Linked DNA regions of Caenorhabditis elegans. The gene in region 1 interacts genetically with each later gene. Each region holds a gene or a part of one and is shown in the gene's direction. Other genes may lie near its edges.

Region 1 (11,694 bases):
TTGGTTAACCGAATCATCTAGAGCTCCAACTCAGGATCCCCTAGTTCTATGGCTCAATGGAGGACCGGGATGTTCTAGTTTAGATGGGTTAATTGAAGAATTGGGACCATTTCATGTAAAGGATTTTGGAAACTCTATATACTACAACGAGTACGCCTGGAACAAAGTAGAATTCCACTTTTAATATTGTATGAGAAAGTAACAATTTCAGTTTGCAAATGTCTTATTCCTGGAATCTCCAGCAGGCGTTGGATATTCTTATTCAACAAATTTCAATTTGACAGTTTCTGATGATGAAGTATCTCTACATAATTACATGGCTCTTCTTGATTTTCTATCCAAATTCCCAGAATATAAGGGTCGTGATTTCTGGATCACAGGAGAATCGTATGCAGGAGTTTATATTCCAACTCTGGCCGTACGTATTTTGAATGACAAGAAAAACTTCCCAAATTTCAAAGGAGTGGCGATTGGTAATGGAGCCTTGAATTTTCCAAATAACTATAATACTATGGTTCCATTTTACTATTACCATGCTTTAGTTCGTGACGAGTAAGTTGGTTTATAATTAATCTAGATATTGTACGTTGGTTTGCAATAAGTTGAAGCATAGTCCTATAAAAATTGACTTCAACGTTTATTGAATAATCTTCAAAAATTGGCACCGCGAGTGATGAGATCGTGACAAGACCTAACGGAAATTGCCACATTTTGATAACTTTCCTTCTACCTGATTTTTCAAATGATACTTCTTCATAATTGTATATTTTTTCAGTTTATACAATGACATTGCAAGAAATTGTTGCAATAACAACATTGGAACATGTGACATCTACAGCAAATTCTTTGATCCAAATTGTAGAGACAAAGTTATCAATGTAAGTTGGAAACAGTTTCTCTCAAAAATGTTTTAAATTTCAGGCACTAGATGGTACTAATGAGCTTAATATGTACAACTTGTATGATGTTTGTTATTACAATCCAACCACAAATCTCAAAAAAGCTTTTATCGAAAGACAAATGAGAATAGCCGTCGGATTACCAGCAAGAAAACATAATGCAGCTACCGTAATACTAGATTTCAGAAACTACTATAATTTCAAAATACTTTCAGACAGTTCCGCTTTGTGCTCAAACCAATAATACACATGTTTATTTGAATAGAGCGGATGTTCGGAAAAGTTTGCACATTCCAAGTTCTCTTCCAGCATGGGAAGAGTGTAGGTTGGTTTTTGTGGGGTCTATGTCTTCTCGGTATTACCTGGAGGAAAGTTTGCTAGAATATTGCGTAGTGTCATCTTACAATTAATTAATCCTAATTGTTTTCTCTTACAGCGACCAAGTTGGAAAGAATTATGTAGTAACACATTTCAATGTGATTCCCGAATTTCAGACAATGATTGCTGCAGGAATTAAAGTTTGAATATTTCAAATTAATTTCAAGTATTTAGAATTGTTTAGATTCTTGTCTACAATGGAGATGTGGACACTGCTTGTAATTCAATCATGAATCAACAGTTTTTGACATCACTCAACCTGACAGTTCTTGTTAGTTTCTCTTGTCTTTATTTTATATTTAACTTTTATTTTTTAGGGAGAACAGGAGAAAGTGAACGAGGCTTGGCACTACTCCGGCCAGACTGGAACTGCAGTAGCTGGGTTTCAGACCAAGTTCGCCGGAAGTTTGTTGCCTTTAATATCATTTTAAACCTACATAACCATTTACAGATGTTGATTTTTTGACCGTTCGTGGAAGTGGCCACTTTGTGCCTGAAGACAAACCTAAGGAATCGCAGCAAATGATTTTTAATTTTATCAATAATAAGGACTATTCTACTCCTATTCAACTTTGATCATTGACTGTGATTTATTAATTTTTGGAGAAGTTTCTATTTAAGGCAATAAAAAGAAAATTGAGTTACTTAAAAGTAGCGAAAATCTGGGAAATATTTTTAAATGAATCCAAATTTGCCTCTGATTCCGAATATATATGTGAAAAAATTCAAAAAATCTTCATTGATTTCACTACTCCATCTTTAAACTACAAAACTTAATAAATTCTAATTTTTGGTAATTTGGCAGTTTACCAAAAAGTTTGGCTGAATTTTTTTTGAGTGTTTTGTTATGGTACAGAAATACGTTTCATGTTTTTTTTTCAAAATGATTTACAAAAAAACTTCAAATTTCTAATTGTTCCTTGCCAATTGTACTAATGTTGACCTTTAGTATGCACCAATGATAACTGGATATTCTGTTTTTGGCAGATAGATATATTTGAATTTCAGATGAGTCTAATGAATAATAAATACCACGAACCTAGCCATCATTCGTGTTTTTATTTAACCAATAGAAGCACCCATCGAAGAAATAAAGGGTATAATGATTTTTCAATGAACCTGTTCAACATCCTAATGTCTTTTGTCTTGCAACAGAAGTTGACAGAAATTATGTGGTATTACGTTTAAGTGTAATTCTCAAATTTCAATGTATGGTATCAGCTAATTTAAAAGTTTGGATATTTCAAATTTAGTACAAAACTTAGAAAGTTTCAGATTCTATACTAAAAACAATTTTTTCAGAATTGTGAATTCCTTGAAAGTGTAATATACATGTAATAGAATAAATTATGTTTATGGGATACGTTTTGCAAATTTTTATTATAAGTGGTTTCGAATTTATCCGATTTCTGAAGCACAATAGGTCTTGCCACGAACAAAAAACTTTGAAGCAGATGTTGCACAAAAAGGTGTGCGCCTTTAAAGTTTACAGTACTCTCACTGTCCTCTTTCTGATGTATTTACTTGCGTCTGAAATCCTGAAATAAAAACCGCTAGACCAACGAAAACAAGATTTTTCAAACGAACACAAAACAGACGGAAAAGAAGGTAGGTTGAAAAAGAACGAGAGATATGTCAATCTAAATGTGTAATAATATCTCGAATTTCGGGTCTGAAAATCAAAAGTCGAGCTGAAAATGTGATCAGCAGACAGAGGGAGGTAGTATTAGAGTGCACGGGGTGCAGAAAAAGTACGAGAAATACCCTTTCCCACACTGTTTTCTCTTGCTTTCTCCGCTTTTCGCTAGTTTTAAAGGTGAACAGAATCCAGTTGGATTGGGCTAGACATCACATAAAATGCGGAGATTTAGAGAAGGCAAGCGCGCCCTAAAGCAAAGAGGGCGTGCACGAGACGGCGGGTCGATTCAAGCTCTAACTGTCTGCGTCTCCACTATTGAAAGGTGCTTCACCGCTGTCTCTAATCCGATTTTCTTTCTCTTTTCTACCTTCTTTTCTGTCTTTTCTTTTTTGTTTCCTTCTCGTAACACTCAAATCTTCCTTTCGTATAGTCGTTCGTTTTCATCGTTTTCCGTTAGTTGTGTATTTTCAGGAAAACCTGAGATATTTTCAATTTCCGAACGTTTGTTCTCGTTTAATGCCCAACCGCATCATAAAAACGTTAAATATGTTTCTCCCAAATGGAGAAAAGAGCAAATTTATGATTGAAAAACTAAAAAAAAGTCATGACTAAATAGTTATTATGCTCATCGAAAAATTTGCCAGTTTAAATGCTATTTTATCGATTTTCTGAAATGCCCTGAAATCTTTGATTAAAATCACTATTTTGATTCTCTATCGAGACATATAAAAGATTCTTGATTTATTTTTTAAAATAAGTTGAAATTATAAACACAAATTTGACGATAAACACCAAAATGTGCGTTACCTTTTCATTTGCAATACATATTATTTAATAAGTTTTTTAAATGTCAATCTTCAAATATTGTGTTGTTAAATTCAAACTCCCAGATGTTTTATTTGCTATTTTCAGCTGAAATTCAGATATTCCTATAACAATTTATTTTTCTATTTGGATTAACCAGTTCACTGATTCTGTAAAAGATTACGAAATCAAGAGAATTCTCGAAACAAAAAATTCATTGCAACGTTGATACAATTTCATCTTCGGAACATTTTCCCTTTAATTTCCTTTAAATTTCGATGATACTGATTAACTCACCTGATTATATGAGATCTTTCCGACTTTAAATTGATTTTTACACAAAAACATTGTTCTCTAAATATCGACATATTTTTATCTTCTAATCAATCAACACTCAATAATATCCATTTAATTCAGGACATTAAATGTCTTCACCGCACCGAGCTTCAACAACTCAGCAGCTGGCGGACTTATCGTTGACGGAAGGTGAACACGATGAGGGCAAACCGCTTTCTATTGACTACCTTCAAGGGCACGAAGGCCTGATCGAGGTAAGGAAAACGAGATTTCCCGTCATTCTAGCGCCATCATAATGTCGTTTTGATTTTTTTTTTTTTTTTTTTTTTGATTTTTCCCAAATCTTTCTTCAACTATCATCACCTTTTTCAGGAAGTATTAAAATGGAGTGAACACGAACAGCTCGATTTTATGGACAAAATTGTTCATCGATTATCACATTATCAGTTGGGAAAAGTCGACAACTTTATCAGGCCCATGCTCCAGAGAGATTTCATTAGTAATTTACCAGGTAAAATTTTTGTCTGTTCAGTATTAAACTAATCTAATTCTATTTTATTTCAGCACATCTTGTCGAATTAATTCTGTTTAATGTAAACTCGGATTCATTAAAATCTTGCGAAGAAGTGAGCACAAGCTGGCGATGTGCACTCGCCCGTGGTCAACATTGGAAGAAATTGATTGAAAAGAATGTTCGAAGTGATTCCCTGTGGTGGGGACTTTCTGAAAAAAGACAATGGTTAGTTGATGATTTAGTTTATCAGAAAATAGGAATAAAATACTTGATTTCAGGGACAAATTCCTGAATATCAGTCGAGACATGTCAGTGCGACGAATCTGTGAAAAATTCAACTACGATGTGAATATTAAACGGGATAAGCTTGATCAGCTCATTTTAATGCATGTCTTCTACAGTAAATTATATCCAAAAATCATTCGAGATATTCATAACATTGACAACAACTGGAAACGTGGAAACTACAAAATGACTCGAATAAATTGTCAATCAGAAAATAGCAAAGGAGTATATTGCCTTCAATATGACGATGACAAAATTGTATCTGGTTTGAGGGACAACACTATTAAAGTCAGAATGATATTATTTTGATTTCAAAATAACTCTGATATTTTTAGATTTGGGATAGAAAAGACTACAGCTGCAGTCGAATTCTTTCTGGACATACTGGTTCCGTTTTATGCCTTCAATATGACAATCGTGTAATAATTTCTGGATCTTCTGATGCCACAGTACGTGTCTGGGATGTCGAAACTGGAGAGTGCATTAAAACGTTAATTCATCATTGTGAAGCTGTTCTTCATCTTCGATTTGCTAATGGAATAATGGTAACATGCTCAAAAGATAGATCGATTGCTGTCTGGGATATGGTTTCGCCACGCGATATCACAATTCGAAGAGTTCTTGTTGGTCATAGAGCAGCTGTAAATGTCGTTGATTTTGATGATAGATATATAGTCAGTGCAAGTGGAGACCGAACTATTAAGGTGAGAATTTGAAATTAAAAAACTGCTTTTCCAGTTATTAAGAAGCTTTTTTTTTAATTTAAAGGTGTACTTATCGTTTGAGTCTCGTTTACTATTCTTGCGGTTCTGAAAATATTAATTTTTTTCAATATTCAGGTCTGGTCAATGGATACACTCGAGTTTGTTCGAACATTGGCTGGCCATCGACGAGGAATTGCATGTCTTCAATATCGTGGACGGCTCGTTGTTTCTGGATCCAGTGATAACACGATTCGACTATGGGATATTCATTCTGGTGTATGCCTACGTGTTCTTGAAGGCCATGAAGAGCTCGTGCGATGCATTCGATTTGACGAAAAACGAATTGTCTCCGGAGCATACGACGGAAAGATTAAAGTATGGGATCTTCAAGCTGCTCTAGATCCTCGTGCATTATCTTCGGAAATATGCCTCTGCTCATTAGTTCAACATACTGGCAGAGTGTTCCGCCTGCAGTTTGATGATTTCCAAATTGTTTCCTCTTCACATGATGACACTATTCTCATTTGGGACTTTTTGGACGCTCCACCCAGTGGGCTTCCGTCTTCAACAAACAGAGTAAGTACAACATCTGGATCAAATCTGTTAATTGAGAAATGGCAGTACATTTGATAGTCTTCAAAATTCGCAAATACACTTTGAAGAAAAAAAAGTGCTTGCAAATTTGTAGTCAGTTTCTTTTCCGTGATTCATATTTATTTTTCTAGGCCACCCTCCCAGAACTTCCAAACCAAGCTGCTGTCGCTCGAGCTCAAATGCTTTTTGAAATGGCTGCTCGACGAGAAATTGAGCGACGAGATAGAGAAGTTGTGGAAGAACCTGCACTGAGGCCACGTGCCAATGCTGCTCGTCGACACAATGCCGATATTGCAGCAGCTGCAGCAGCGGCGGAAGCTGCTAGAGGTGCCGGGGACAATGATGAATCGTCATCAGAGGAAGATCTGGACAGAGTTGATCAGGTTAATAATCCGAACGTGGCTGGACCAGCGCCACCGCAACCACACAATCAGAATCATAGAAGGAGGCAACCAAGACCAGAATTGCCTGTCAGACTTATGGTAAAATTGAAAATTGAATGATGAGACTAAAGATTGACAAGTTTCAGCAAGAAATGGCTGCTTTTGACAATATGCGCCGACAACAAAATAATATGGATCACCTGGGCGGAGGCGACGTAGACGAAGAGATGCCAGATGGTGGCCCATAAAATCTACACTCCTTCCCATTTTTTTTTGAATTTTTACTGATCTTCAACCGGTGCAGAAATCAACCAAACCCTCTGTAATCTTCCTTGTCATTTTCCAAAAAAGAAAGTTGAAATTCCTTTGTACAGTATCCTTTTGCATCCCCTTCCCAACTTTTCCTCTCACTATTAACTGATCTGATTTCATGTGATAATAGTGTGTGTGTGTGTCTCTGCATTCTATTCATCTTTTCTCAATCGACATATTGGAATATCGCACGCACAACCCCTTTCTTTCTTGTTTTTGTAACCGCATTCGAGTCCTGGTTTTTCTGAAACTATTTTTTTAATACTTCAATTTTCAAAGTCGCATGCTTTGCGGGTGCCCATTCATCCACTCTCACCATTTTATTTTGTTTTTCATCCCTCTTCCCATTTCTCAACGGTTTTTCTTCTACGGCGACGATTCTAAATGCTTCTATCCCCCGCTTTCCTCACCCGCACATTTTCAATCGCTTCACACAAATCTGTTTCAAATAATCGTTTTCGTTCCTAATTTTTCTCCCCTTCCATTGCCTCCAATTCCAAATTTCTTTTATTCGCTCGGAAAATTGTGTTCTGTATAGTTCGAAATGATATAAACAAATTTGGGTTTTGCTACTCCACAATCTGCCATTCCATCTTTTTTTCTAAATTAGAGTTTCTCATTATCATTCTTCTGTCACTTCCTGTCTTTCCTACGTCATTGTCACTGACAACTTTGCAGAACCGATTTGAGCATTTCTGCAACTTTCTTCTATTACATCTCTACGTCCCCATTCTTATCACACTATTTATTTAGTCATGTGACAAGAGTGATAATGAGAAAATAATTAACCTTCCACTGAATCCCAGTTTTGTAGTAGAAAAAAGTCAAAAGTTATAATCGATAAGCATGCAAAATCAAGTCATGCGACAGTTAAATGACAACATATCGATTAGATATTTCACAAGAAAGTTTACGGAATTTTCCATATTTCAATTGCAATTCGATCAAAAATGTGACAGCTCAAGTGTTTGGCAGATCAAGTGTTTGGCAGATGGGTGGTGTCACATTTTAATGCCAAAACTAATATTTCTCCTCTGCAAAAGCAAAAAAGCGGTAAGTTTGAACCCGAAGTGTGGCAAAAAAAGTTCAATTTGGCACACACCTTTGAGTTCTTATCAATTTCCGGAGAGGTTAGAATGGGATTATTGTAAAGTTCACGAATTGTCGGAGATTGGAATGTTTCACAACTATTTTCATAGTGGACACACTATGTAGGATGACTATAGATTTTTGATTTAATACGAATTCGCGAAGCAATCAAAAAACGAGTACAACACATTGAAACCTAGACGATGACAAGTTACAGTACCCTTTTCAATTGGTTTAGGAAGCGATTCAGCAGTAAATGTGATTTTTTTCTGTTTCAAATGAATACCTGGTTTTCGTGGATAGTATAAATATTTGTATTGTTATTCGAGACAGTTTATATAGTTGTTCACCCAATCATCGTTTGCATTAAGTTGTCAATACTCTAGAATTAACTATGATGAGCCAAATAACGATGCTCACTATTTTTTGCCTTCTGAATAAAAATAAATCATGTTGAGTGTAATTGAAAGTTCGAAACGTTCTACTACTGTAATTCAATTGAAATGTAAAATTAAAGATGACCTGATTTCATTTTGAATACCACACAAAACTCTACTTTTTAAGCGCAAATAAAAGTTTTTATACACATTTTTGAAGGATATAAAATTTTTTTTTTCGGTAAATATCAATTTTATTTCATAGTGTATTTCATTCTAAAACTAAAACAATGTAATTTTGTACTTTTTCGTGTAGACAGGAACTTTCTTGTGATTGTAGCTATGATCGTAGTTTTGTGTCAGAAACCACAAACCCCCCAGAATGTAGGCTATTTTATTAGGTGCAACTTTTTGAAGTAATCAAACATCTAATAAACATCAAATCCACCCTCACTCAAATGCCAGTTTCTTTCTGATCTCTAGAATTTTCAGTTGAATTTTGAATTAGTTTCAATGAGTTATTTAATGTTTTTTTTTTGGAAAACAACCAGTCAAGTTCCTTTTCGACAATATTTGGATGCAGAATTTCTGATGAGGAATCGAGTCTGATGAATTTTAAATTGAAGTTGATAAGCTGAAAGTTAATAATCAATGAACTGAAATAGGTTACCGAAATAGAAATATTCGAAATCTTATTTACTTGGAAGACATGAAAATTTCAACTCACGAATCATTTTCGAACTGAATATTTAAATATGTGAATCTCAATTCAAAATGACTTGTTTTCAAAAACATTAAGCTTATTTTCAGAGATTTCTCGATGGCTTCATTAAGCATTGTCTGATTATTCATGTCCTTTTAACGCGTTATTTGTTGAATAAACAGCTGACTATTTTTTTCATACAACAATGTTTCCTGTTAACTGCAAATGATGAATGAGAGGACGTCACAACAAGAAGCATGAAAGTGATAATCGGAAAAAGCAATGATTAATGCGCCAGGTGGCAGAAAGGGTAAAGATTGGAAATGAGAACGAGAGTTGGAAAATCAAAAGATAAATCAGGAACGACGATGATTTTAAAACGTGTTGCAATTTCCTTTACCTGTAATCAAAATATGGGAGGTCAAATAGAAATGATTGATCTTTTTATGATATGAGAAGATAAAATATTGCAAGACGACTTGGCAAGATTGAGATGTTCTGCCTTGAACTTGTGTTCTGTTATATTGCAAAGGTTATACGTGAAACGACCTAGTCGTAGGAAACATTTCAGGTAGCACTCTCAGAAATATTCCAGTTAAAAATTTTTTGGCAACAGTGATCTAAATCATTATCCTAATTGCCGAGATCTAATCATTATCCTAATTGCCAATACTTATGTTAAGTTGAATTTAATCCAGCTGGAAATCAGTTGAAGCTAGACTTAATCAGAATATGGTATAGTTGCAGGTTCATAACTGGTTGTAGGCTTATCCAGCTTACCTCTTAAAATTAAGTTCCAGTAAAGAAAACGTGAAGAAAACACATTTTAGGGCAGGGACTACAGTAGTTAATCTACGAATCTAGGTTATAACTATAGTACGACTTCTGCCCATTGTTACAATTTTATATGAAAATTGTGGATCAATTGAACTTTTTGAAAATTCATTTCTTCTTTGTTAAAAATATTCGATTAGAGGCCAAAACTTCGAGTTTTCATAATTTCCCATCAACTCGTACTTTTTAAACAACTTAAAAAATTCCAAAATGCGATTCATGCTTGTGACAATGTTTGGATAAGACGAATTTTCAGTGCAGATAATATGTGACTAAATACAAGTCTGCAGGTACTTGACTCTTCAAAAATATTAGTGCTGTATTGTACTTCATATATTAACACTTCACTTACAAACACATTTCCAGCACATTGCAATGAAACTGAAAATTTCGTAAGAAATTGATTTTCCATATCTTATGACATTTTTTCCCGCAGTGCTCATGACATTTGTTTACCGAAACAACAACTTCCTTTTATTCTTTGTACCAGCCCTCCCAGTTTAGCGTATTAGTTTCTCTAATTATCATTTACTATTGTATTTTAATGCTCTTCTTTTTCTTTTTCTTTCCTCACACTCCCATCATCCAATCATCTGACTCTCGTCCTTCTCAGCTGCTTTTTTCTGCCAATAAGATAAGTAGAGAGAGGGAGACAACACAGTTCATAATTTCACAGAAGTTGAAGAAAATGAGATGGCAACGGTAAAAAGTTGTGTATTTGTTTCCGAATAAAATGCTGAAAAATAGATAAATGAATGTGATGAATGATGCAGACTCCGCATGAGGTTACTGATAACATAAAAATGAAAGTGAATGAAGGAGCTGTTAAAAATGAGAGTGATGATGGATGATCAGCGGGAAAACGAAACGAACGTAACTGGCACCTAGTGACACGAAACGTATTTTATCAAAAAAGGTTTCAATTGAACGAATGTTCAAATGAACTCTTGATTAGTTTATTTTTTCCGATGGTACAATGTGTTTAGTGATTAACAATCAAAAAGGCCGATGAGTTGGCAGTAAGCTACTAGAATGCGGAACGCCCTACTGACACTTAACAACCATAATATCTATACGCAAAAAGTACGGTAGCTCCGAACTCAAAATTTATTGAACCTTTTTTAAACTGAAAATTTTTGAGGGCATTAAATTCGATATTTCTGATCTTACAAAAAATTTTCCTATTTGCTATTTAGAATTGTATGAATGTTTTCGCAGTTTTTGGCATAATCCATTTTAAAATTTAATTGCAAAAAAATCTGTGTCTCGTAAGCACATTAAGACTTTAATTATTTCATTGCCACTTAAGCTTCCAATTTTCAAAATCATGTTCAATTTAAATTAATTTGAAATTAAATCAAATTAAGAAGCGTTACAAAATATATAGTTTCTCTAAAGGACTAAAACAATCAAATATCATAAAAAGACCTTTCAAAAAATTTAATGAAAATTTTTTATGGCAGTTTGAAATTTTTTAGAAAGAAGGGAAAAATTACGGAATAAAGTTTCCAGATACACCGTTACTATTGTTTTAATAAACATGCCAAGCTTTTTTGTTATTAACTTTTCCAAATCGCTATAGTGATTTATAAGTAAAATGTGATTTTTCTTGACATCTTGAAGATTCAGTTTTTAATTTAAAAAAATTCCCAGGAGTCTTCAAAATTTTAAATCTAACATTTAGAATTTGAAATGCGAAAAATGTCGTGAGAACTCCTGCAACCTGATTACAACGTTTTTTCGTGATATTTGGATACAGAGCACTTTAAAGGTCACCAACTTCATCGTTGCAAATCTAAAACATTCTCATGAATGATTCAGAAAAACGAATCTTTGACTGGAAGACCTCTGGTAGATTCCGACCTTTTGCTATAATCTTATG
Region 2 (11,218 bases), on another chromosome or scaffold:
TCTACTACAATTCAAATTTTTATACAAATAATTTGTGATAATGAGTTGTTTGTCTTAGTCATTCGAAATTGCAAACATTATTTACAACCAAAAATGGGAAGTAATCTTGAATTTGATAGAGTTCTGATAAAATTAATAAGAGTATGGTAAAGGTTTCGAGAAATTGGAGTATTGAATCACATATTAGGTAGGGAAACCATTTAAAACCGTTAATATAATGCCAAATGTCATAATATCACTTTTGAGAAAACAAATTTATTTCTAAATTTACAGTCATCGTATGCTGGTGAAGGTAGCATATGTTTTATAACATGACTCTAAGAAACTCACAAGCTACATATTTTGAAGAATATTTTAGTGGGTTATGCAGTCTTTGAAGAACAATTTATAAAGAGAAAGTTAAAGTAACTTCACAATCTAGTTTTAAAAAAATGACACATTCACCAGATGATGCCAAAATTTTGCAACAAAAAAAAACAGAAAACTACAAAAATGACACAAGGAATAACGAAGTGACCTGTGCTTCACATAATGTCTCAATTGTAATTCTAGCGGTTTTGTGATGAGTGTGCTCATCAAACTCATTATCCATCTAAACGATGGGAAAACACTCACTATCTATTTTTTTTTCCTCAATTTAACCTCCTTCTTGCTCTCAGTTACACATTACACGAAATGATGTCTAATGTCTCCTACGACCACATTTTATTTTTCAAAAAAAGAGAATGGTCAGTTGGGATCAAAAAAGAGACGAGAGTGTCAGAAAAAAAGATGAAAGGAACGGAGTGAGATTGAAAGGAAAAGAAGGTAAAAGTATTGTTAGATAGGAGAGGAAAAGCGGAAACCAATTTATGTAAATTTTATTGCATTTTTCAAACGTATTTTCATCTTTTAAAAATGCTGTAAAAAGTCATTATGCATAGAATATGAAGACAATTTTTTCCTAGTACTGCATCATTGTCATCTTATTTGAAACACGTCAAAACATGACTTTCCAAAAATTATTACGTAATAAAGATATTTAACAAGAATTTCCAGTTATCTCGTGTACTAGGTCAAACGGGCTGAAACTATCCGTGGCAAATCAGATTTTTAAAAAAGTCAATTTTGTAATTACTCATGTTATATTACAAAAAAAAACTCATTATGTTTATCGACTTTCCAATATTTTGATATTGATAACGAGTGCTTGGTTACTGTAACTTAGGTTTTTAACGGATTAAACAAAATTTCATGTGCTTTTTGTTTCAGACAATTTTTGAAAGAGGAGAAGCTGAAAAAGGAATAACAAGAACAACAAAACCGTCGCAACAAGTTGCAACTTTTGGTAATTTACCATAGTAGTTTTTCAAACCTACTAGAAAATGGCCAATATGCAAAAAAAACTGTCACATTTTCCATTCATAAAATATTTCGACGTTTTCTCTTCTGAAAAGTCCACCAAAAAATTAATTGAAAATTGCGATGACCATCTTAAGTGGCGAAACTAAACAAATTAGTAGAAATATATATTACTACAACTGAATACTACTACTACGACTAATACCCTTCTACTTTTTCTTGTTACTCTTTTTTTCAAGCAATACGTACACATGAATCAGTTTGCATCTGGCAGGAGAAATTAAAAACGGAAAGAACAGAAACCAGTGTAAACGTACTCGAATACTTTGATGATCAATACAGAAAAGGAAAAATCTCCAATTGGAACAGAAATCTGTGTATTCTGTTCAACGAGCCGTCCTTCTTTTGAAATGGGTTACGAAATACATCTTTCTCTCGAGGGGCGCATAAACTTACATAAAAATAGTCGGGCAATGATGATGGCACATTGAGTTTTTATCGTGGCACCCGGGAATAAAATAGCCAAAGGTTTTATGACAGCTTTTCCGAAAGAAATTAAATATTTTTGAACTTGGCTTTCATCGAGTGACACAATAATAATAATCATTGTGTAATGTCATTGTTCGTGGAACTCTAAAAAAAACTACATATAGCTAGATTCAAGAAATTGTAACTCGAACAACACAGTGAATTTTTTTGTAATTTCTATTTTTGCCGCATCAAAACAAATGTTTTTTTTTTCAATTTGAGTTTCTTCCAATTTCAATGAGTACTTTTATTTTTACATAAAATTGATTGTTAAAAAACAAGTTTCCAATTTTAATTATCAATTGCATTTTTCTGTTTCTTTTCATTTTTTTCTGCCTTTTTAATCCTTATCATTTCTTTGATATACTTTAATGATTCTGCATATTCCGTATTTCTTTGCGTCTCTTCTTCCACACGGTGTTTCAGCTTTTCAATCTGAAAAAATTAATAAATCTAGTTTTTCCCACGACTCTTCTAATACCTCTTCAATCTCAATTGGATCTTGTTTCATAAAGTCTAATTTTGCCTCCATTATCTTTATTTGCTTCTCCAATTTGATAATTTCGATTGCTTTTTCTTGTTCAATTGCCGCGAATTTAACATTTTCGGTTTCAATTTGTACTTTTGAATAAGCGATTTCTTTTTCGAGGCTTTCAGCTTTCAAAGTGTTAGCTTCAAATTCTTCTTCCAATTGAGCAATTTCCTTCTGAAACAGAAAATATACTGGATCAGCTTATTACGATACCCTATACTTATGCCATAAGACAATACGCCAAGCCTTCAAATAGAACTTCTATTAATCTCACAACTTACAGCAAAAACCTTATCGTCGTCTTCCTTTACGCCCACATTTTCTGGCATCTTTGGGTCAAAATTAAACACACTTGAAAATATCTCATAGATCTGAAACATTTCAATATAAATGTTCAAATTTTGAATAACTACAACTTCTTTGAGTTCTGTTTCGATTTCTCCAACAATCTGATCCACACTTCGTTCTTTCGGTGGAGATATTTGTTGATGAATGTCAGCGTAGTATTCGCATTGCTGCAAGAGTTTCACACAGATGACATTTGACAGAAATGAATACCTCAGTAATGAAAGTTCTCACAGTTTCCACTTCTTCTTCAATTTCCTGTTTCAACATATTTTCCCGTTTCTCGTGAGCTTTCACGCGTGCCACTGCCATTTCTAGCATTGCTTGACTTTCTTTTCTAAAGAGACTTTTACACTTTATTAAAAGTAAAATTTTAAAAAAAAACAATTATTTTAGAAAGTGTTTTCTAGAAAAATGTGGAGACGATGGTCTTTTGAATTCGAAGTATATTTTAGTTTTAAACAATTTGATTCAAAAAATAAACCCAATAATTTATTTTTTAATTTTCTTGTTTTTTTAATGTTCCAAATTTGTGTACCTTTAATCTTCCTAAAAATGTAAGTACTTCTTGTCTACACGCCTGACTATTGCCATTTTTTTGAAAAATTAACTCACCCTACTAATAAGTGAAGTACGGTAACTAAATTAACACGTGAAAATAGACGGTAGGCAGGCAAATAGTAATTCCCTACCTAATCTTTTCAATATAAGCCTTTCTCTGAAGCTGTCGATGCTCAGAAATCAGATCAAACTCATTTCGTGTTGTCCATTTTTCTTCTTTCATTTCTCGTGATCTTGCTCGCTCCTCTTGAACTTTTTTCGCGTGTTCGCGTGCCAGCCGACGCTTCTCTCGCAGCTTTTCATAATATTTCGTTCGATTGGGCATTTTTATTGAAAAGAGATGATGAAGGGGACTTGCGAAATTTTGTTGGATTTAGGAAGGAAATGAAAAACTAAATTCACGATTTTTAGGTCACGGGTGACTGGGCTTTTTGAGCGGAAATTGGTTTTTCGTATATTTTTCTGCACACTTTTGTGTGTATGAGTGTTTTGGAGATTGTAATGCTTTTTAGATAATGTTAAAAAACAAGAATGGTCCTAAATTTTTCGACGTTGCAAAACGGGTTTTTCAAAAACGCAATTGAATATATAACTGTAATTCATGCGCTTTTCTCAGCTGAACACTATTTTAAAGTTGGAATAGCGACAGTTGGAATATTGTCAAAATATACTCATAATGAATTTAAAAATTACTATGTAGATATATGGACTCTAATGTGTTTTAGGGTTTTTCAAAATTTTCAGACTTTTTTTTTTGGCAGATTGCCAATTTTTTTTGGTAAAACGTGGACACTTGGAGATTCATGTAGCATTTTTGTATATTCAAAGTTCTACAATTTTCAGACACGAAAATATTTTTGAACAAGTTCCGAAGTTGTAATAGGCGCTACTAAAGACGTATAAACTTTTGTGTTTGGTCTTGCAATGAATGAAGTTTCTTGTTCGCAGAATAAAAAGTATACAATCTTCGCTGTAAGATCCAGATCTTTTTTTAGGTCACATTGGAAAGTTGAAAATATTGCCAAATCGTGGCAAGCAAAAAATTGCAACATGCTAATATCTTTCTAACCCTATAAACATCCCTTCAATCCCCTATTTTTCAAAACCCCACACTTATAATACCTTTTCCCTTCAACCCTTACCCGTTCCATCACTTTCCTCCCTATTTGCATCTTTCTTCTCTCACATGACCCGTGATGCTTTCTCCAAACCAGTCCCCACCATCCATTTCCGTGCTTGCATCATCATCATCATAGTCGTCAATTTTTCAAGATTGTATCTGTCTCCCTCTCGTTTCCCCACAGCCGACTTAACAAACACCTCTTTTCCGCACTTTCCGCACCAAAAACATGTTTGCGTCTCTCCGTGTTTTCTACCGAGATAGCCACACGTCAAGTAAGCGCCAGTGATCTCTCAATTGATAATACTTTTTTAAAAGGTTTCTCAGTTAACTGAACAATTGTGAGGAAGATACAAATAGTTATGACGTGGCTTAAAAAGAGAAAAATGATGATGAAATAAATCATCACTATTCATTGCTATTCGTTAGAATGCAGGATATAAATCACGATTTTCGTTTTCGAACACAACTTTAAACTTCAATTTTTCCTTTGTTTCTCTGAAAACTTTGCAGTCATTTTCAAGCTTCCACAGAACTTTACAAAAAAACTAGATTTTCTCCAACGTGGCGATATTCCCGAGTTTCGAGAAGAATCCAGCTTGTCAATGCTGTATAAAACCTTTACTTTTCTATCGTTTCCATTATTTCTTTCACTGCACCTGTTACTGCCAGGTGCTTTATTTCCGCCTATCGTCTATTTTGTTTTCCTCCTACCAAATTTGACAACCCTCCGCAAACACTCATTCCTATTTTAGCCCGGTGAAATTTCGATATGGAGAAAAACAAAAACAAGTGTGAGCTTCCACTTCGGAATAATTTCCGGAGAATGAGAATTGTACAATTTTCTCCTATAAGACCATACAATAAAATTTTATCAGAAACATGAAGCTTTGGTCATTATCATTTTTTGTTACCCTTGAAATTTGATCACAAGGCTTTAATTTTTCATGAGACGTCAATTTTTTCTGATGATAAATAACATAGTTCAAAGTATTGCGTAATGTTTCAATTTTAACATGACACATAATAAATCAGAAACTCGAAAAACGTATTTAAATATAGATTTTGTCGGGAAGTTTAATGTGCAACTGTCTCGATATCTTTCTTTGAAAACATTTAATTTTTATTATATTTTCCAAACTGGATTCGAGAATTCTCGTATTCTTAAACAAATTTACAATGAAAATATAAATAATTAATTTAAAGGAACATGTTCTGCAATCCTCCCTGGGTCCCGCCACGAAACCGCCACGCACTACCATGAAAGGCGCGTTCGCATTCGTTCTGCCGCTCGTTTCTGTTTTCCAGATCTTTCCATCATTTTCTTCATTCATTCGCGCTCTCTCATTATCTTGAGTTGCCGGCTATTTTCGCTGCTCTCTGCTTTTTCGTATCGCTTTTTCACTCTTTCCAGCATTCAGAAAATTGCATTATTTCGGTTTTCATTTAAAAAACTCATAGCAAAGTATTTTGTTATTGATTTCGCAATACTTTCGAAAAGTATCGGAAAATTTTAATGTTTAGTCTGTGCGTTCCTCATTCCCTGTTCTCGTTGTACTCTTAACTGATGTTTTTAAATTTAGTTTTCCGGGGCTCTCTTGAAAAGACCCAATAGTCGTATTGAACCTTCGCCTGATCGCCACTAGCTCATCTTTTAGTCTTATGACGGGCTCACATGATTCTCCCCAGTGTCCTCCCGTTTTCTCACTGCACTTGTTTTGTCGTTCGTTCATCAGTACAAAGTACAAGCACTTTCGCGTCTGTCTGAAAATTGGTTCGGGTGCCGTTAGGACATTATTCATACTTTCCTGCTAGTCGCAGATTATAAAAAAATGTCCTTGACCGTCTGCTCTTTCTTATGTTCTCCCTATATATGCGTCAAACGAACAACTGACCCTGTTCACTTTTCCTATTCTTCGTTTCATCATTTTCTGTAACAAAAATGGAAACAATACTTTACACAGACGTCACTATTATTCAGGCCTATGATTTCTCTATCGTTTAGTTAAAGATGAAAAGAAACTGGTCGACCCAGTTGCATGACGAGAAAAAAGAACACCCCGTTCGATTTTCGTTGTATTCCCTCTGCACACATTGTCCCCTTCTTCCTCATCATTTCTTTCCCTACACAGCACTCTAGAATGTTCTTCTTGTGCAGAAAGAGTGCCGTTTGAGTCAGCGACCCCCCCCCCCCCCCTCCTTTCTCTTGCTCTTCCTCACTGGTTCTCGTAATAGGCGACTTCTTGCTAACAGAAAGTGAGCATAGCAACATTTTTTACTTTGTGGCCTTCAATAATACGTGCGTCGTTTAATTAGAATGTTTGAGTAAAGTTCAACGTGTAGATTCAATATTCACGTTTTGGGCGCTCTTTAATTTATTACTGTCAAGAATCAGTTTACCAAACGGTGAGTTTCTTTTTTTTTGTCTAATTGTAAGATTTAGCGGGGTAAAACCAACAGAAATGTCATGCTTTTTTGAATAATCTCAATCAGTTGTTATATGAATTATTTTCCCATTTTAGCAATACTGCTTGGTAGTTATTTTCGGTCAGAGAAACGAGGACATCAGCTGAACATCTGCGTCTCTAACAACACTCGGGGAAGGCGGAGTCAGTGTGCGCGTGCGTTGGGGGTTTTATCGATCGTTGAGGCGGGCATACAGCAGTCATACACCCCATTCGACCAGAACGCTCCGCTCGCGTGCCACCTTGTCTCCATTCTCATTTCACTTGTCTCTACTCGGACATTACTCCTCATCGATTAGCTCTTTACTACCATTTTACTTTTATGCCTTTCTTTTTTCGTTTGACTTGCCTATGACGAGTGGGGATGAAGTTTGCTTTGTTAGTCTTACTAGTGTATCGATTTTTTGGGTAATATTTCGCAACTTTCTAGGACTTTCTTTCATAATCACCTCTTCTCTCGCCTCCTCATTCCAGTTTTATTCGCACTCATTTTCTATTTTTTCAGCAATCATGCAAATCTTCGTCAAAACGTTGACTGGAAAAACTATCACCCTGGAGGTGGAGGCTTCCGATACCATCGAAAATGTCAAAGCCAAGATCCAAGACAAGGAAGGAATTCCACCAGATCAGCAGCGTCTCATCTTCGCCGGAAAGCAGCTCGAGGACGGCCGCACCCTGTCTGACTACAACATCCAGAAGGAATCTACTCTTCACTTGGTTCTTCGTCTTAGAGGAGGAATGCAGATCTTTGTCAAGACTTTGACTGGAAAGACCATCACACTTGAAGTTGAAGCTTCCGACACGATCGAGAACGTCAAGGCCAAGATTCAAGACAAGGAGGGAATCCCACCAGATCAGCAGCGTCTTATCTTTGCTGGTATGTTACATATAACAAATTTTGTTCATGAGAGACTAATTTTTTTCCAGGAAAGCAATTGGAAGATGGACGCACACTCTCTGATTACAATATTCAGAAAGAGTCTACTCTCCACTTGGTGCTCCGCCTCAGAGGAGGTATGCAGATCTTCGTCAAGACATTGACTGGAAAGACCATCACACTTGAAGTCGAAGCTTCCGACACGATCGAAAATGTCAAGGCTAAGATTCAAGATAAAGAAGGAATCCCACCAGATCAGCAAAGACTTATCTTCGCCGGAAAGCAGCTCGAGGACGGCCGCACCCTTTCGGACTACAACATCCAGAAGGAATCAACTCTTCATTTGGTTCTCCGTTTGAGAGGAGGTATGCAGATCTTCGTCAAGACATTGACCGGAAAGACCATCACCCTCGAAGTCGAAGCCTCCGACACCATCGAAAATGTCAAGGCCAAGATCCAAGACAAGGAAGGAATTCCACCAGATCAGCAGAGACTTATTTTTGCTGGTACGTTGGCAAAATATCTAATATTTGACCTAAAATTTATTATATATTTTCAGGAAAGCAACTCGAGGATGGCCGTACCCTTTCGGACTACAATATCCAGAAGGAATCAACCCTCCATTTGGTGCTCCGCCTAAGAGGAGGAATGCAGATCTTCGTCAAGACTTTGACCGGAAAGACTATTACTCTTGAGGTTGAAGCTTCTGACACTATTGAGAACGTGAAGGCCAAGATCCAAGACAAGGAAGGTATCCCACCAGATCAACAGCGTTTGATCTTTGCCGGAAAGCAACTCGAGGATGGCCGTACTCTCTCCGATTACAACATCCAAAAGGAGTCTACTCTTCATTTGGTTCTCCGTCTCCGAGGAGGAATGCAAATCTTCGTCAAGACTCTTATCGGAAAGACCATCACCCTCGAAGTCGAAGCCTCCGATACCATCGAGAACGTGAAGGCCAAGATTCAGGACAAGGAAGGAATTCCTCCAGATCAGCAACGTCTCATCTTCGCTGGAAAGCAGCTCGAAGACGGCCGCACCCTTTCGGACTACAACATCCAGAAGGAATCAACTCTTCATTTGGTTCTCCGTTTGAGAGGAGGTATGCAAATCTTCGTGAAGACTTTGACTGGAAAGACTATCACCCTCGAAGTCGAAGCCTCTGATACCATCGAAAATGTGAAGGCCAAGATCCAAGACAAGGAAGGAATCCCACCAGATCAGCAGCGTCTTATCTTTGCCGGTACGTTATATAGATATACATAACTCAAATCAACTATTATTATTTCAGGAAAGCAATTGGAAGATGGGCGCACGCTCTCTGATTACAACATTCAGAAGGAATCTACTCTTCACTTGGTTCTCCGTCTCCGAGGAGGAATGCAGATCTTCGTCAAGACTCTTACAGGAAAGACCATCACGCTCGAGGTGGAAGCTTCTGACACTATTGAGAACGTGAAGGCCAAGATCCAAGACAAAGAAGGTATCCCACCAGATCAGCAACGCTTGATCTTCGCCGGAAAGCAACTCGAGGATGGCCGTACCCTTTCGGACTACAATATCCAGAAGGAATCAACCCTCCATTTGGTGCTCCGTCTCAGAGGAGGTATGCAGATCTTCGTCAAGACATTGACTGGAAAGACCATCACACTTGAAGTCGAAGCCTCTGATACCATCGAGAATGTGAAGGCCAAGATTCAAGACAAGGAAGGAATCCCACCAGATCAGCAGAGACTCATCTTCGCCGGAAAACAACTCGAAGACGGTCGTACCCTCTCCGACTACAACATCCAAAAGGAGTCTACTCTTCATTTGGTTCTCCGTCTGAGAGGAGGTATGCAGATCTTCGTCAAGACATTGACCGGAAAGACCATCACCCTCGAAGTCGAAGCCTCCGACACCATCGAAAATGTCAAGGCCAAGATCCAAGACAAGGAAGGAATTCCACCAGATCAGCAGAGACTTATTTTCGCTGGTGAGTTCATATTGTTTTTAGAATTAAAACTAATTTTTATTGTTTTTCAGGAAAGCAACTCGAGGATGGCCGTACCCTTTCGGACTACAATATCCAGAAGGAGTCTACTCTTCATTTGGTGCTCCGTCTCAGAGGAGGTATGCAGATCTTCGTCAAGACTTTGACTGGAAAAACCATCACTCTCGAGGTCGAAGCTTCGGACACCATTGAGAATGTCAAAGCCAAAATCCAGGATAAGGAGGGAATCCCACCAGATCAGCAACGTTTGATCTTTGCTGGAAAGCAGCTCGAGGATGGACGCACTCTATCCGATTACAACATCCAAAAGGAGTCGACACTTCATCTCGTTCTTCGTCTTCGCGGAGGAGACATTTAAATCGAACCCATCAATTCACTCGTTATTCCTCCTCGATCTCCGTTCAAGTAACAATTATTTATTCTTTATTCCTTCGGGAATTTCTGTATTTTAATGAACGAGCTCTGAATAAATTCATTTTCGTGTACTCAAACGATTTATCTTTAACAATAACAAACAACAAAGATAACTACTCTATGAAGTGTAAGGTTCAACTATATTTATAGATCAGATGCTGGATTGTCCTATGAGTTGCGCTTTCAATGTCTGCGAATTGGCGTCGGTGATCAGAATCTTTGCATATTGACCAGGTTCCAAACAGAGTTTCGAATTGTCGAACACTGCTTTCACACCACCATCGATCCTTCCATGTGAAAATGATGCATCCCTTTTTGACTTCTAAAAATATTATTTTAATTCATTTTATTGGTGTTTATAGATGACTCACTCCTTCCAACAAAACCGTCTGTTCCGACCCGATAAGCGCTTGGTTCAATTTCAATGCTTCTTCCCGAAATACAGTAGTCAAATCTAAATGTCTTCTTGCTTTTACATCTTCTGGAACATCGTCTGTTAACCGATGATGTGCTCGCGTTTTCTGAAAATAATCTGATAGGAACAATTTTCAGCAACTGACTCACTCCACGCATACTGTAGGGGAAAACGAAGCAGAATGAATAACGAACGGCTCGAATGAGGGAAAGTGTGTTCTGATGAGCTTGTTCAGTTTCTCCACAGAATCCGGCAATGAAGTCACTTGTCAGAGAGACGCCTGATAAAATAATTAAGTTTTGTTTGAAGAGTGATTCATACTCACTTGGTAAAACATGTCTAATATCATCAACTAATCTCAAATACAGATCTCTTGTGTATCCTCTTTCCATCCGTTCCAATGTCTCATCATCTCCACTTTGTGCTGGAAGATGAAGTTGTTTGCAGAGATTTGGACGGGATGCAATAAGCTCGATCAACTGAAGGTTATCATGATTATCAATTAAAGCTTCATAAAAGTTACCTGCATCGGGAAATCCTTTGGATGCGGGGAAGTGAACCGAAATCGGATATCTGGAGCTGCATCAGCGACTTTTTCAAGCAATGTTGTAAAGGTCAGGCCCCCAC

Evidence for each region.
Region 2: of lin-23 (region 1) and ubq-1, changing one suppresses a phenotype caused by changing the other (phenotypic suppression), as found in Caenorhabditis elegans (one study listed by BioGRID).

The regions. Positions count from the first base shown.
Region 1 is NC_003280.10:6,367,168-6,378,861, forward strand, and holds lin-23 (F-box domain-containing protein), read left to right. Parts: upstream 1-4,135; 5' UTR 4,136-4,145; coding exon 4,146-4,271; intron 4,272-4,389; coding exon 4,390-4,528; intron 4,529-4,581; coding exon 4,582-4,756; intron 4,757-4,809; coding exon 4,810-5,104; intron 5,105-5,151; coding exon 5,152-5,520; intron 5,521-5,655; coding exon 5,656-6,096; intron 6,097-6,245; coding exon 6,246-6,596; intron 6,597-6,637; coding exon 6,638-6,745; 3' UTR 6,746-7,383; downstream 7,384-11,694. Other genes in the region: Serine carboxypeptidase ctsa-4.1, read left to right, coding at 1-166, 212-552, 776-878, 922-1,068, 1,115-1,224, 1,336-1,417, 1,462-1,548, 1,595-1,682 and 1 more. UniProt on the Caenorhabditis elegans protein: Functions cell autonomously to negatively regulate cell cycle progression. Required to restrain cell proliferation in response to developmental cues. Probably recognizes and binds to some proteins and promotes their ubiquitination and degradation.
Region 2 is NC_003281.10:5,933,589-5,944,806, forward strand, and holds ubq-1 (Ubiquitin-related), read left to right. Parts: upstream 1-7,397; 5' UTR 7,398-7,402; coding exon 7,403-7,769; intron 7,770-7,819; coding exon 7,820-8,275; intron 8,276-8,328; coding exon 8,329-9,012; intron 9,013-9,060; coding exon 9,061-9,744; intron 9,745-9,794; coding exon 9,795-10,120; 3' UTR 10,121-10,239; downstream 10,240-11,218. Other genes in the region: EGAP1.1 (uncharacterized protein), read right to left, coding at 2,161-2,304, 2,351-2,575, 2,683-2,916, 2,960-3,083, 3,439-3,632; F25B5.5 (CDK5RAP1-like protein), read right to left, coding at 10,328-10,498, 10,548-10,697, 10,741-10,871, 10,917-11,070, 11,115-11,218. UniProt on the Caenorhabditis elegans protein: Ubiquitin exists either covalently attached to another protein, or free (unanchored).